3 linked regions of the Ovis aries genome follow. The protein of the gene in region 1 interacts with the protein of each later gene in a pairwise test. Links are inferred from orthologs where the notes say so. Each region holds a gene or a part of one and is shown in the gene's direction. Other genes may lie near its edges.

Region 1 (4,245 bases):
CTGCCCCCTCCTGCTGCAGGGGTGGCTGGCGGCCTGACCAACCTCTCCAAGATGCCTGCCTGCAACATCATGCTGCTTGGGGCGCAGCGCAAGACCCTGTCGGGCTTCTCGTCCACCTCGGTGCTGCCCCACACCGGCTACATCTACCACAGCGACATCGTGCAGTCCCTGCCCCCAGTGAGTGCCCCCCGGGTCCCCGGGTCACTGCTGGCGGCAGGCGTCGGGAGCTGGGAGCCAGAGGGTGGCCCGCACGGGCGGGTGCAAGGGGGCAGGAGCAAGGAGGCCGGAGCCGATGGGCTGGCTTGGGGTTCCGTCAGTGCCACCCACCTGCCCGGCACGGAGCCTGAGCTCTGAACCTCTGTCTCCCAGTCTGTACGTGGGCGAACTGGACCTGGTTTGTCTGCAGACGGGAGAGGAGGTGGGAAAAGACACCAGCGATGATCACTGGTTACTGTAACGCATCAGTGCAGGCCTGAGCCGCAGTGGAGGTGGAGGCTGCCGGGCAGAGAGGGCGGCAAGGCGGCAGTTCTGGGAAGCCTGGGCTCTGAGGCTGCTGCCTCGCTCTGACCCGCCTCCTTGTCTGTTGCCCCAGGATCTGCGGCGGAAAGCCGCCCGGCTGGTGGCCGCCAAGTGTACGCTGGCAGCCCGCGTGGACAGCTTCCACGAGAGTACGGAGGGGAAGGTGAGGGCAGCGTCCGCATGGCCTGTCTGTGGTCTGTCGAGGAGCGCCGTCATCAGAAGACCCTCCCGCACGGGGACTCAGGGCGGGGCGGGGGTGTCGCTGGGCCCCACCCGGGGCGGCGTCCCCTCCCCCACGCTGCCATGATGATGGCCTCAAGTGCAGTGGCCCAGAGGGACACCGGGTTGTGGTCTTAGAGTCCTGCAGGCCAGAGGCCCACGGGGGTTCCCCGAGCTGACGCCGCAGTGCTGGCCGAGTTTGCTCCTCCAGAGGCTCGAGCTCGGGAGGGCCGCTCCCGGCGGTTTCCAGCTTCCCAGGGCCACCGCGACCCCTGCTCGGGGCCCCTGCCTCCATCTTCAGAGCCAGCACAGCCTCTGTGTGCTCTCCCTGGCTCTGCCTCTGCCTGCACTTCTTCTCTGGCCCTTTAAGACCCCTGTGACCCCACTGGCCCCACACACCACTAAGCTCTCACTCCCCTTCAAGATCCCTAACCCAGTCACACCTGCAGAGCCCCGCTTGTCAGGCAGTGAGAGCTCACAGGAACCAGGTAGCAGACACCCTGGGGCGGGGGAGGAACTTCTCTGCTGCACCGGGGTCTCTGGACACCCTGGGGCGGGGAGGAATTTTCTGCTGCACCGGGGTCTCTGGACACCCTGGGGCGGGGAGGAACGTCTTTGCTGCCTTGGGGTCTCTGGACACCCTGGGGCGGGGGAGGAACTTCTCTGCTGCACCGGGGTCTCTGGACACCTTGGGGCGGGGTCGGGGAGGAACTTCTCTGCTGCACCGGGGTGTCTGGACACCCTGGGGCGGGGAGGAGCGTCTTTGCTGCACTCTGTCTCCTCTGCCAGCACTGCTGCCATGCTGGTGTTTATTCCGTTAGCCTGTCCTCCTGGGCAGACCTGTTCTGTGACAGGAGATGTGTCTATCCCGTGCAGTATGGTTTTCCAGGCACCCAGCCTGCCACAGCGTTCGGGGCTCTCTGACCACAGGGTACAGCGGTGACCCGGCCAGATGCAAGTCCTACCCTGTGGCTTCTCCAGTCTGGCTGGGGGCGGGCGGCGATGGGGAGATGCACGCTGGTCAATATGCAGGGCGTCCGGGGTGCCGAGCAGAGGCTGAGGGGAGAGGAGGCTGTGGAGGTGCCAAGGGGGCTTAGACTGATGAACCTGGGAGGCGGGAGGGCTGCTCTGAGGAGGTGAGGGCTTAACGTGGGCCTGCGAGCAGAGAGCAGGCGAGTCCCGTGGACGCTGGGGGACGGGGTCTGAAGCAGCGGGTGGTCAGCGCCAGGCTGGAGCCCAGCGAGCCCCGCGGAGGGGGAGCTGGTGGGACAGGGTGGGTCACGTTGAGCCTGTGCGCCTGGGGAGAGCCTGGCTCCTCAGAGGAGCTGACGGGGCCCTACTGGGGTCCTTCCAGCTGGATTCTCGGGTGCGGCGGTCTCCAGGGCATCCCCCTTACTGACCTGAGAGGAGCTGGGGCGGGGGGCAGGCCAGGCCCGTGGGAGCCGCTGCTGGACCCCAGCCCGCCCTCCCCAGGTGGGCTACGAGCTGAAGGACGAGATTGAGCGCAAGTTCGACAAGTGGCAGGAGCCACCGCCCGTGAAGCAGGTGAAGCCGCTGCCCGCGCCCCTCGACGGGCAGCGCAAGAAGCGAGGCGGCCGCAGGTGGGGCCCGGGGACCGGACCGGGCGGGGTGGGAAGGGCCGAGGCTTCCCCTTCCCGGCTGACCCCCTGCCCCGCCCCAGGTACCGCAAGATGAAGGAGCGGCTGGGGCTGACGGAGATCCGGAAGCAGGCCAACCGCATGAGCTTCGGAGAGGTCACACGCCCCTACCTCGCGCCCCCACGTCCCCTCCACTGCTGTGGCCGAGGCAACACCTCAGCCTCTTCCCGGGCCCCCTGGCCTCCACTCTGTCCCAGCCCCAGAGGGATCTCCCCCCACCGTCCCCACCCCGCTGTCCAGGCCCTCCCAGGCCCCGCGCCTGCCAGGCCCCGGCTACCTGAGCACCACCCCGCTGGTCCTGCCGGAACTAGCTTGCGTGTCGTCAGTGACCACTGTTGCGGCTCTTCACACGGCGCAGGCACACACACACACTCCCCCTCAGCTCAAGCAGTGGTAACAGGACCCCTGCTCCTCACCGGGGCCCCAGCAAGGCTCACTGCACTCAGGGCCCAGGCAGTCCCGGATGGGATGGAGCCCTGGGCTGCCTGAGGGGCGGCTGACACCTGGACGTCTCCCCTCCCACCAGATCGAGGAGGACGCCTACCAGGAGGATCTGGGTTTCAGCCTGGGACATCTGGGCAAGTCGGGCAGCGGGCGGGTGCGGCAGACACAGGTGAACGAGGCTACCAAAGCCAGGATCTCCAAGACGCTGCAGGTGCGGGCCAGCCCTGGGGATGGGGGCGGGGCCTGGGCTACGGGGGCGGGGCCTGGGCTTCGGGGGCAGGCGCGCGTGTGCAGACCCAGGCCACAGCCCTGAGCGCCCTGCCCTCCCCGCAGCGGACCCTGCAGAAGCAGAGCGTGGTGTACGGTGGGAAGTCCACCATCCGTGACCGCTCGTCGGGAACCGCCTCCAGCGTGGCCTTCACCCCACTCCAGGTACTGGGTCTCTGGAGGCAGCAGGCCCGGGGAAGGCCGTGTTCCCCTGTCCTGGGCTGCTGCTTCCTTACCTGTGCCCCACTTCAGGACTGCCATGGGTTTGGGCGGGGGGCTCCAAAGAAGCCCCCGAGGTTGTATCTGGATTCCCAGCACATGTCACGGTTCGCAGGGACCACTGAGTCTCTGTGGCCCCGAGCAGGCCCAGCTGCTCCCACCCTTGAGGATGCCCGCTGAATTCCAGGGGCACTGTCGCAGGCGCTGAGATGGACAGACACACACCAGGGAGTTTGGCCCTTTTGGAGTTTATCTCAGGGGACAGACAAATAGGACACACAGACACACACACACACACGGGGAGTTTCGCCCTCTTGGAGTTTATCTCAGGGGTCAGACAAGTAAGATACATAGTGTTGGGGGGTGGAAAGTGCTGGGCCGGAAAGGACTAAGGGAGACGGAGCCTCCAGGGACAGCCTCAGCAAGGTGAGAATCCCCGGGTGTAAGACGTGGATCAATGCCAGCCACGTGTCAGACCCCCAGAGCTGGTTGGTAAATCCTCGCTGGGGCTGGTGCGGTTCATGCTGGGACTGCGGGCAAGCCTCTTACTTCTGGGACTCGGTTTCTTCATTCAGGAACTGAACGGGATCAGCCTTTCTCACACAGTGATGTTTTTAAAATCGCCTGGGGATCTTGTTAAAATTCAGGGATCCAGGTCCTCCCCGCTGGCCTCACCCCAGAACCACAGAGGATCTCCCAGGGTGGGGGAGACCTGGGGGCTGGCACGCCCTCCACATGGTTGCCCAGAACCCCAGGCCCATCAGGAAGGGCCGTGGGCCCCTGACATGCCACGATTCCCTCACCGGGAGGCTGTTAGAGACCAGGCCATCTCCCCACCCCGCCCCTTATCCCTCCCTTGCCCAGGGCCTGGAGATTGTGAACCCACAAGCAGCGGAGAAGAAGGTGGCAGAGGCCAACC
Region 2 (4,943 bases), on another chromosome or scaffold:
TCATTTCCACTTTATAGATGAGGAAGATGAGGCACAGAGAGGTGGAGTATCTTGCCCAAGATAGCACAGCTAGTGAGCAACTGAGCCATGATTCTAAATGCAGGCTCTCTGGTCCCAGAGGCTACATACTGAACTGTCTCATCTGACAGCCTCTTGCAAGTTTAGACCAAAGAGAGACATGAAGAAGATTCTTACTGGGACTCTGGAATGGCACCTCACCAGGAGTCAGTTCCATCTAGGGGTGGAGCTTGAGAATGAAGGAAGTTCACACTTCGGGCTGGGACCTAGAGCAGCGTAGAGCTCCTTGATTCCCGCCCCAAGCATCTCTGGGTATAGTGTGTGCTCAGTCACTAAATCGTGTCCCACCTGATGCTTTGCGATCTCACGGACTGAAAGAATACTGGAGTGGGTTGTCATTTCTTTCTCCAAGGCATCGTCCCAACCCAGGAATTGAACCCTGAATCTCCTGCCTTGGCAGGTGGATTCTTCCTCCCATGCCATCAGGGAGGCCCCCCTTGGGTGTTGTCACCTCTATTTGCATCAAGAGTACAGCCAGTTGCCTGGGGGCTTGGGAGGAAGACCTGCTCCCAGAGGAGTGGCATGTCTATGGCTTATTCCTTCATCACACATTTCTGGTGCCCCTACACCCGTCCTAGGCCACTAGGTGCTGGGGATCCTTCCCCATAAAAGAAAGCTCTAGCCCTGTCTGTGAGGTGCTCATGGTCTGGGGAAAACAGAATCAGAGTTCTCCGTGAGTGAGGCCTGACCAGCGCTGGTGGGACACAGAACAGGTACCACTTTGTTGGGGAAGTCCTGGAAGGCTGTCCAAGAACAGGGACGTAGAGGCCCGGACTTGAGGTGGGATATGATGGGGCAAAGGCAGGACAGACTCGGAGTCTTCGGGCCCCGCCACTGACTCTACCTGGGATATCTGAAAACGGTCCGATGGAGGATTTGTCGAGGTGGGTGGCTGTGCGTAAACGAAAGGAGGACGGCAGCACCCACGTGCGTCCAGGGGACTGCGCCCCAGAGGGGACGGGCTGCGGCTCCCTGCCCCGCCTCCGGACTCGGCGGATTTCTGCGCGAAGAGAATGACAACCCGGCGGCAAGCGGAATGACAAAGCCGACCTGAAGGGCACGCGCTTTTATGTAATCGACCTCGGTTCCAAGGGTCTCACGGGTTGGCGCTGAGCGCAAGAGGCACCCACCGAGGCAGGACGGCTGGGCGCCCACGTTATTTCCTAGCAAACAGGAGCAGGGGAGGCAAAGCGAGCTAAGTTATGGAAGTCCAGGGAGCTTGAGAGCAGGGCAGCTCGCCCCGCCGCCCTTTCCCAGAGCCCGCGGCGGCGAGCCCGGGTGCTCCTCGGCGTCCTTCTCCGCCCGGCCCCTGAGCCGAGCGCGCAGCCCTCCTCCCGGGATCGCTCGCTGGGTGACCTTGGGCGAGCCGCTTGACCTCTCTGGGCGCAGTTGCCCGGGTTCTGCGTCTCGGCCCGCCGTGGCCGAGCCGCGCGGCGCTCCGCGCACGCCTCCCAGGGAGCTGCGGACCGGCGCGGCGCCGGCGGGAGGCCCCCGGGACGCCCCTCCCGGGCTCGGTCGCGTAGCCGGGAGCGGCCCCACCAGGCGGCGCGCCGCAGCGGGCGGCGGGCGGCAGGGCGCGGGGCACAGTGCGCAGGCGCGGCGGGCGGGGCGGGGCCGGGCGCGGCGGGCGGGGCCGGGCGCTCGGCTCCGCGGCTCAGAGAGCGCGGGGCGGCGCGCGGCGTGCGGGTCGCTGCTGAGCTCCGCGCCGGCGCCGGCTGGCGGGGCTCGCCGGGGACTGTGTCCAGTTCGCGGAGCGCGCCGCCGGCTCGGCCGGAGGGCCGCCTGATCGCTCCGGCCCGTGGCGGGAGCGCGGAGCCCGCGTCTGGGAGGCGGCGGCCGCCAGCGCGGGGCCGTCGGCGGCCAACCCCCGGGGACCAGGGCTGCGCGGCCGGTTCCCGCCCCGCGCCGCCGCCGCCGCCACCGCCTCCGCCGCCGCCGCCGTCCCCGGGCCGACTGCTCGGCTTGGCTCCGCCGCGCCCCGCGCCGCCCCACCGCGGCGTCCGGCCCGGGTTCCGCGCCGCTGGGGCGCGGGCGGGGTCGGGGGTTGCGGGGCCGCCGCCGCCGCCCGCCCGCCTGGAGTCCGCGTCCCGGGCCCGGGCGGCCGGCGAGCATGGAGGAGAAGTACCTGCCGGAGCTGATGGCGGAGAAAGACTCCCTGGACCCATCCTTCACGCACGCCCTGCGGCTGGTGAACCAAGGTGAGGGCGCGCGCCGGCCGGCTGGCCGACCGACCGACCGACCGTTAACGGTCGCCCACGGCCGTTGGGGACCCGGGAGCGGCGGGCTGGGGGGAGGGGTGGGGGGCTGGAGACTGGGGGGCGTCGGGCCCGGGGGCGAGGCGCAGGTGTTGGGGGGTGCGGAGCCGTGGCAGCGAGCTGGCCGTCGACCTCGGGGCGACCGGAGGGGACCCAGGTCGCAATCTGGCGGGGGGCGCTGATTCGGGTGGGGATGTGGGACACCTAGGGGAAGCCGGAGTGTTGTGTGCGCGTTGTGGGGAGACGCGGGAAGGGAGGCAGGCTGGGCGTTTGGATGCGACTTGAAGGGAATCTGTGGGGGACTCGAGGGTACCCCAGGGAAACTTGCGGGTGGGGCACCACGAGCATCTGGGGGCTTCGTTGGGGCGGGGGTTGAATGAGCTCATTGGAGGGGAGAATGGGGCGGTGGGGGGCACCAGGGAACTAGTTGCGTTTGGTTAGAGAGCTGGAGAAAGAACTCGAGGAAAATGGAAGGATTCGAGGGGATCGGAAGCAGAAGAGGTGAAGGGAACAGGTGCTTGGATTGTTGGTGAAGTTTGAGGACCTCGGAAGAGGTTTGGGGTCAGAACCCCCGGCACGTTGGAGGAGCAGGGCCCGCTTTCCCGGTTCCCTCTTCATTCCTCTCTCTCTCTCTCTCTCTCTCTCTCTTTCTCTTTCTCTCGCGGGTCCGGGCTCTCGCCGCCCTCCCCGCGGGTGGGCAGCTCACACCTAGCCTTGCAGGCCGGCCCTTGGAGAGTCATCGGGGGGCGGGAAGAGACCCACGCAGGAGAGTCTGCTTCTTGACTTGCCTGTCCTCTCTCTGGGAGGCTCTGGGTGGGTCACCCTCACTGGGGGCCGGCTCGGGGTTGAGAACACTGGCCAAGGAGCCTTTGCTGCTTGTGCCATTTTAGCGCGCCTCGGGCCAGCTCAGGGCGTGAGCCGCCCCGGGAAGTACCGGACGCGGGGTGCCCCGGCGTACGGAGGCGTGCCCGCCCAGGACGGCGTTCCCTGGCTTGTTCCTTCTCCAGCTTCCCGAGTAATCTGCCGGGATGGACGGTAAATGAAGCCCGCCTTCCCCAGAGCGATGTCCTTCATCCCCTCCTGGATCTGGAATGCGTGTTTCAGATAAAGATGGGTTTGGGAGCCGTTGGTATGCTTTTTCTCTGGGTGATGGCACAGACCATCCGGCAGAGGTTATCCCGTCAGATCTGTTACCTTTTGCACGAATCACTGTGCCTTGAGGGTCTGTGGTTCCCGACTCAGCCGGGTCTGCTGATCTTCATGCTGACCCTGGCTTTTTGATTGTTGAAAGTGGAAGATGAGGCAGACATATTCTATTTGAATATAGGTGTCTATATTTTACAATAGCGACCTCCGGTATTTGCCTATTGCAACCCGTTCTTCCTAGTAGGGTGTGTGTGTGGTCGAGTGAGGGTCTTGGTGGAGGGACTGACTGTCTGCAAGAATTTAAGCTTGGTATTTAATTTGTTGAACAGAGATGGGTTCACTGAGCTTTCCCATTTTAATTGTAGGCTTATTTTTATTTCTTTAATAAAACGGGCTTGTGAAAAAGTAATGGCTATGCGTTGCAGAAAGCGAATTTTAAGTTTTATTGCCATGCTCTTGTGAACAGTTGGGTTTGTACTCCTCTCTCTTTGTGATTTACATATATCTTTTGTTGCCTGCTGGGCTGTCATCTCTATGAAAGAAATTTCTTTGTACGTTGTGTGAGATCATTGGCATTAGAAATATTCTGGATTGTGGAATGAAGTGTATTTTTCTGAATAAAGAAGCTGAGTCAAAGTTAGGTTGTACTCAATTAAAGAAGCAGTTTTAACAAAAGTGTAGTAAGTTATCTTATTTTGAAAGTCAGAACTAATTTTCTGTGCCAGGTTGCTGTGGCATTCATTTTGCTAATACATTTGGAATTCTTTTGGTTTCTTTGTTTTTACCTGTGGTAATTGCTTCCAATTATTTGAAACAGATCTTGGGCAATGTTGCCATTTAGTTGTTTTTTTTTTTTAGGTGTTAAACCTGATTACCTTACTTTTTCATCAAAAATGTAATTCTTGCAAGAGGTACATTTCTTACATTGAACAGTTAGGGAAGTAACTTATTCAGATATTCTTATTACTGTTAATTTAGATTTCTTCAGACTGAAATGTTTTCCCCTTAAATCACAGGCTGCTTTCTGGAATGCAGAGCTCTATCATTTAAAATATTAATTATGCTGTTACGTAACTCCAGAATTACAAGTGGCATTTCTGAAACACGGTGTCTTAAATCTGAATTGATTATTATAAAGCTTTGATTTTAAATCTGATAATCATTTTGTGATTGACTACCAAGAGCATTTTTATTCTTTTTTTAATCTGTATTTTTGACTATTTCCCTCTAAAGGGAGGCATCTGTTTTTCAGATGAATCTTGATACTAGGATGGGTATTCAGGCACTAACTTATAAATGGTAATGGGTCACACCTTTATTTTATTATGGAGTGGCCTGTGATAAGTAGACTTGACGCTTAACATCACCAAATGCTGTCAGTACCTTTGTATAGTGTTCTCAAGTTTCCCAGGCTCTTTGAGGCACAGCTGTCTGCTTGTGTTCTCACACTCAGCCCTAGTGAGG
Region 3 (4,901 bases), on another chromosome or scaffold:
GCTTGGGAAACTGTGAAACGCCTTAGAGATCACTGTGACTCACACACTAAGTGGTCCCTTCACTACGGTCTAGGCCAGTGGTTCTCAAACGTTAGCGTGCATCAGAATGACCTGAAAGACTTGTTGAAACAGATCTTGGGACCCACTATTTCTGATTCAATAGGTCTGGCTGCTGCTGCTGCTGCTAAGTCGCTTCAGTCGTGTCCGACTCTGTGCGACCCCATAGATGGCAACCCGCCAGGCTCCCCCGTCCCTGGGATTCTCCAGGCAAGAACACTGGAGTGGGTGCCATTTCCTTCTCCAATGCACGAAAGTGAAAAGTGAAAGTGAAGTCGCTCAGTCACGTCCCACTCTTAGCAACCCCATGGACTGCAGCCCACCAGGCTCCTCCATCCATGGGATTTTCCAGGCAAGATTACTGGAGCGGGGAGCCATTGCCTTCTCTGAATAGGTCTAGATGGTGTCCAATAATTTGCACTTCTCTCAAGTTTCTAGGTGATGCTGAGGCTGCTGGTCCTGGAACCTACTTCCAAAACTGTTCATCTAGGCTGCTGGGTGGGCAAAACCCATGGTATCCGCAGTAATCACAAGTAATCACTAGAATAGGGTTGTCATTATTACCCGGCTCCATCTCTTGGTAACCCCAGTATTCACTCTCTTCTGCCTCCAGATTACTCAGTGCAGTTTTGCTGAGATTTATGGAGGGAAAAGATTGAATTCCTTTCCTCTCTTCCACGTGTCAACCTCCTGTCATTAAAACCCCTTCTTATCTAAAAGCTGCTTCACAGTTTGCAAAAACACTCACATACATTATTGTGTTCAAAAATGAGATACTTTCTTATTTCTGAGCACAAAGCTGAGACTCTTTAGATAATTAGGGGAGGAGGCGATGGGGCAGAAGAACACCCGCTCTCTTCCTTCCCTTTGCATTTGCAGCTCTGAAGGTAGCAATCTGTCCGCGTTTCAGATCAAGGGTCTTAGGATCTGCGTCTTCCTCACCGAAGAGATGCTATAATGTGCGAAGTTAGAGCAAAAAAGGCGTGATGATAAGCATCCCTATGTCGCCTCCTCCCCGCCAAATAAAATGAGTGGGTGGGGGACACCCCGACAGAGTGTTTGCTGCAAGGGTCCCTCGGGTGCTTCTGCTAAAATCGCGCCTCGGTGGCCCGACGCCCCTGATCTCAACTCCGCAGCCCGCTGTCCGCAATGCTAAGACGCAGCACTCCAGCCCTCCGGATTGCTCCTGGGGGATCGCGCGGTGCAACCAACCCCAAGGACGCGGCCGCGACGCCCCCCCCGGCCCTCGGGGCTCCCCATTGGCCGGCGGCCGTCGTCACGCCCTCCTAGCCTCGCCTCCCCCGCCCGGCCGCCGCACCGGCCGGCTAGGTTGCACGCTGGCCGCGGGCTCAGGCCGCGGCGGCGGCTTTGCAGCAGGCGGTGCGGCGGGCGGGGGCCGGGCGCGCGGGCGGGGCGGGGGCGCGCTGCGGGCTCCTCCGCCGGCAGGTGCGGGCCGGGGGCCCGCGGCGGGGCGGGCGGCCGCAGTCGCCGCCAAGGGCGGCAGACGAGGACCTGCCCGGCCGGCCGCCCCATGCCTGCCGCGCCCAGCAGCCCGGCCCGCCGGGAGGGATGCGCGGTGCCGCCCGGTTCTCCTCCGCCCTGCGCGTGCCCTGAAGCAGAAAGTTTGGGGGCCGGGGGCTGTCTTCCTCCTCCCGCTCCAATGACTGCCCAAGGACTCCTGCTGCCCAACCTCGACTGTGACCTGCCTTCGCTCCCCGGGTGGCGATGAACTATTCCAAGCTGTAACCAAGGCTCCCCGCTCCTCGCCCTTTCCTCACCCTCCCTTGAAAAGGTTTATTTTTTCAATTCAAGAAATTGTGATCCGCCCGACTCCCCTCCTCGTTAATAATTTAGACCCGGAGCCTCGTTTCTGAGTGTAAGAGGGGGTGCGGTCTCCCCCCAGGACGGCGCGCTGGAAGGACAGATTCCCCTTGCCGACCCATCTACACCATGAAGAGGTGCAAATCGGACGAGCTGCAGCAACAGCAGGGCGAGGAGGATGGAGCCGGGCTGGAAGATGCTGCTTGCCACCTGCCGGGTGCGGACATCCGGCCTGGGGAGGCCGCGGGTGCTAACTCTGCTGGCGGGCCAACTTCGGATGCGGGCGCTGCCGCGGCGCCCAACCCGGGTCCCCGAAGCAAGCCTCCCGATTTAAAGGTGAGCGCAGACCCTCCCCTTGAGAGCTCAACCGGCGACTTAGCTTTCCCCGCCCCACGCAGAAGTGCTGTAACAGGCTAAAAGTGATGGGGAAGCCAGACAGAGGTCAGAGAGGATGGGCAGATGTTCAGCCAGACCCTGGGCTAGATCTCAGGTACCATTTGTGCCTCTGTCTTTCAGCTTATTTCAGGCCTCTGTGTTTGTTCCTCATTATTCAGCAGACGTTCTAGTGACTCACGCATCGGAGGTTGTTTGAATAATGTGTGTGAAGCGCTATTCGCAGACAAAGAGCTGGAGAAATCCGAAATGCTAACTAAAAAGTTGACATCCCTTCCCCTCCCTGGAAGGGGAAGGAGATAACAGGGGTGGGAACCCAAGCAAAGGACCATTAGCTCCTTTGCTGAATTAGTTTCCTCCTTCTGGGACCTTCCTGGATTGAAGCTCAGTTTGTCCATCTGTGAAAGGGGAGTGTGGGTTTCCTGCCGTTAGGTGGAGCCAGAGGTTAAGCTAGTGCTTGGAGATCCGGGCTGGTTTCCTAAACCAGCCCCCAGGGTGGAGAACTGACAGGTGGCCGCTTGGTGCTTGCGCTGGTTTGGGGCCTCGGTTCAAGTTGCACACATGATGAGCCGGCAGGGAGAACCAGGATCTGAGAGAGGCGGCCACTTGCAGTTGGGAGTCCTTTATTTTCCAGCTTAGGTTGCCGAGACAATTATTGAGCTGTACTGGATATGTCTCTATATTAACTAAAACAGCAGCTGTGATAAATAATGCACCTTTGCTGGAGCTGCCACAGGAATTGCAGGCTCAGGCTTCTCAAGCAAGCTCACCGCCGGGCTGAGAGCGATGTCAGCCCAAGGAAGGAACTTAGACGCCTTGGAGACTGATGCCTTGGGGAGATTTTCTCCAGAGGGGGTGCAAGGTCTTGGCTAGGGGAGCAAAAGGACTCCATTATGTTAAATAAAGCCTGTCTCCTACGGCAGCAGCCACTAAGGAGCTCGCCAGAATAAACCAATGACACTCCTCGTTTGGCCTGAGCGGCACAGAGCCAGGAAGTCAGAGCGCAGGTGAGTGTGTGTCCCCTGTCTGTGTTTCCTGGGGAGGGGTAAGAAGGTGACTTCTGCCTCCATGTGTGTGTCTTAAAAATTGGTGGCAGTTATTTGAACGTAACCTCTGATTTTGCGGCTGCCCTTTTTCAGAGGATCGGGGCTAGCTTTATGTGTAAGATGAGCTCCACTGGGTAGGCAGTTCAGGGAGAGTCCTTGGTACCTGGCCCACCTGCCACCTCTGAGCCCACCTGAGTGGTCAGGAGCCGTGGTTCCTATTTTCAATGAGATGGTGAAGGAAAAGGGCTGCCCTTAGTGCTGACGTGGGGCAGGGGCAGCCTTCTGCTGCAAACTTCAGCTTCCTTCTGGGCTGATCCAGAGGGGTCTGGCCAGCACATCCTGATTCCTTGGTGAGATGGGATCCTCACCCCGAGTCCATGAAAAGCAGCCTTGGAAACTCCTCCACGATTCAGCTCCGGCCGCAGTGAAAACCACCGGCTCCGTTCATGTCCCCCGCTGCCTTCACAAGGGAAGGTGGGCTTGCGGTGGGGGCTGCAGTGTCTTTGTCTCTGTGGATAAAGCTGCTGAAAGAAGCTCATTCATCTCCACCCGCTTACCTCTTATACTCTCTCTCTCTCCCTCTTTTTGGGGGAGGGTGGTGGCGGTTGACACTGTCATTCTGGTTGGGGCAGACACAGCAACAACAGCTCTACACTTGATATTAAATGCGGGTCATCCCTGAACCACAGTTGAGATCAGGTGTGAGAAAAGGACACCTTCTTTTCTTGTCCTTCCAAGTTGTCCTCCACCCCCATCAGAAAACATATTTCTGAGCTGACCATAGCTGTGTGAACCCAGGCTGGCAGCTCAGGGAAAACCTAGCTGTTGCCTGCTCCGTGGGAGCTCGGGGAGACAAGCAGGGCCTTTTCCTGTTTATGTCCGTCTGCTTTATCACGTGTTTACAAAGTAGGGACTTCAGAGACAGACACCAACTTGGGGGCTATCGCAGTTTAATTTGCTGTGTGATCTCAGGCAAGTGACTCAACTTTTCTGAGCCTTTTTCTGGGGAAAGGGACTAGGAATTTTGAAGTATGTCTAAACTTATTTTCCAGCACTGGCATAGTTTTCCAGCAATGGAAAAATCCCATCTTTGGCTGTAGCGCTGCATAGAAGCTACCTTGTTTTAGGTGTGATGGTGGTACCGGAATAGGGTAAGTTTGATTTTTTAACACCCCCTGTCCCCTACCTGTGTCTGGCCTGGAGCAACCTGCAGTTCTGGCTTGGTTTTGTTTTCATTTTAAACTTTGGAAATAGGAATTTCTGGTCCCTTAGTCCACCGCTGTTTTCTTGTAACAGCTCCAGGCGTTGTGATGGATTAGGAGCAGTGGAGGAAATCATCTTGAGGAAAAAAAAAAAGGCTTTGTCTGAAGCACCTCATGGAAGTTGGGCGAAAGGAGAGGACAGAGTGATCCGCATGTGCCCTGATAGACAAGCTTGTCGAGCAGCCCCGGAGCAGGGGCTCCGGTGGTCTCCCTTCTTGTCCTTCAGTGTTGTGGAGGACTGCACTGTAGATTTCTCCTGTGGTAGCCTGGGATCTGCGATTGGGGGCCGTGAAGGACCAGTGAGAAGGAAAAATAGTTAAGC

The links. The genes of interacting proteins can lie anywhere in the genome.
Region 2: the proteins of PRPF31 (region 1) and KHDRBS3 interact in binary tests that used the Homo sapiens proteins (3 or more experiments, as listed by UniProt). The two-hybrid records come from large-scale screens. The link is inferred for Ovis aries from reciprocal best matches to the Homo sapiens genes PRPF31 and KHDRBS3.
Region 3: the proteins of PRPF31 (region 1) and TMCC2 interact in a two-hybrid assay, tested with the Homo sapiens proteins (2 studies listed by BioGRID). The two-hybrid records come from large-scale screens. The link is inferred for Ovis aries from reciprocal best matches to the Homo sapiens genes PRPF31 and TMCC2.

What each region holds. Positions count from the first base shown.
Region 1 is NC_056067.1:64,004,865-64,009,109, reverse strand, and holds part of PRPF31 (U4/U6 small nuclear ribonucleoprotein Prp31), read left to right. Parts: intron 1-19; coding exon 20-177; intron 178-592; coding exon 593-682; intron 683-2,211; coding exon 2,212-2,339; intron 2,340-2,419; coding exon 2,420-2,492; intron 2,493-2,922; coding exon 2,923-3,051; intron 3,052-3,173; coding exon 3,174-3,272; intron 3,273-4,190; coding exon 4,191-4,245. UniProt on the Homo sapiens protein: Involved in pre-mRNA splicing as component of the spliceosome. Required for the assembly of the U4/U5/U6 tri-snRNP complex, one of the building blocks of the spliceosome.
Region 2 is NC_056062.1:19,608,473-19,613,415, reverse strand, and holds the start of KHDRBS3 (KH domain-containing, RNA-binding, signal transduction-associated protein 3), read left to right. Parts: upstream 1-1,734; 5' UTR 1,735-2,188; coding exon 2,189-2,276; intron 2,277-4,943. UniProt on the Homo sapiens protein: RNA-binding protein that plays a role in the regulation of alternative splicing and influences mRNA splice site selection and exon inclusion. Binds preferentially to the 5'-[AU]UAAA-3' motif in vitro.
Region 3 is NC_056065.1:2,864,674-2,869,574, forward strand, and holds the start of TMCC2 (transmembrane and coiled-coil domains protein 2), read left to right. Parts: upstream 1-1,692; 5' UTR 1,693-2,007; coding exon 2,008-2,214; intron 2,215-4,901.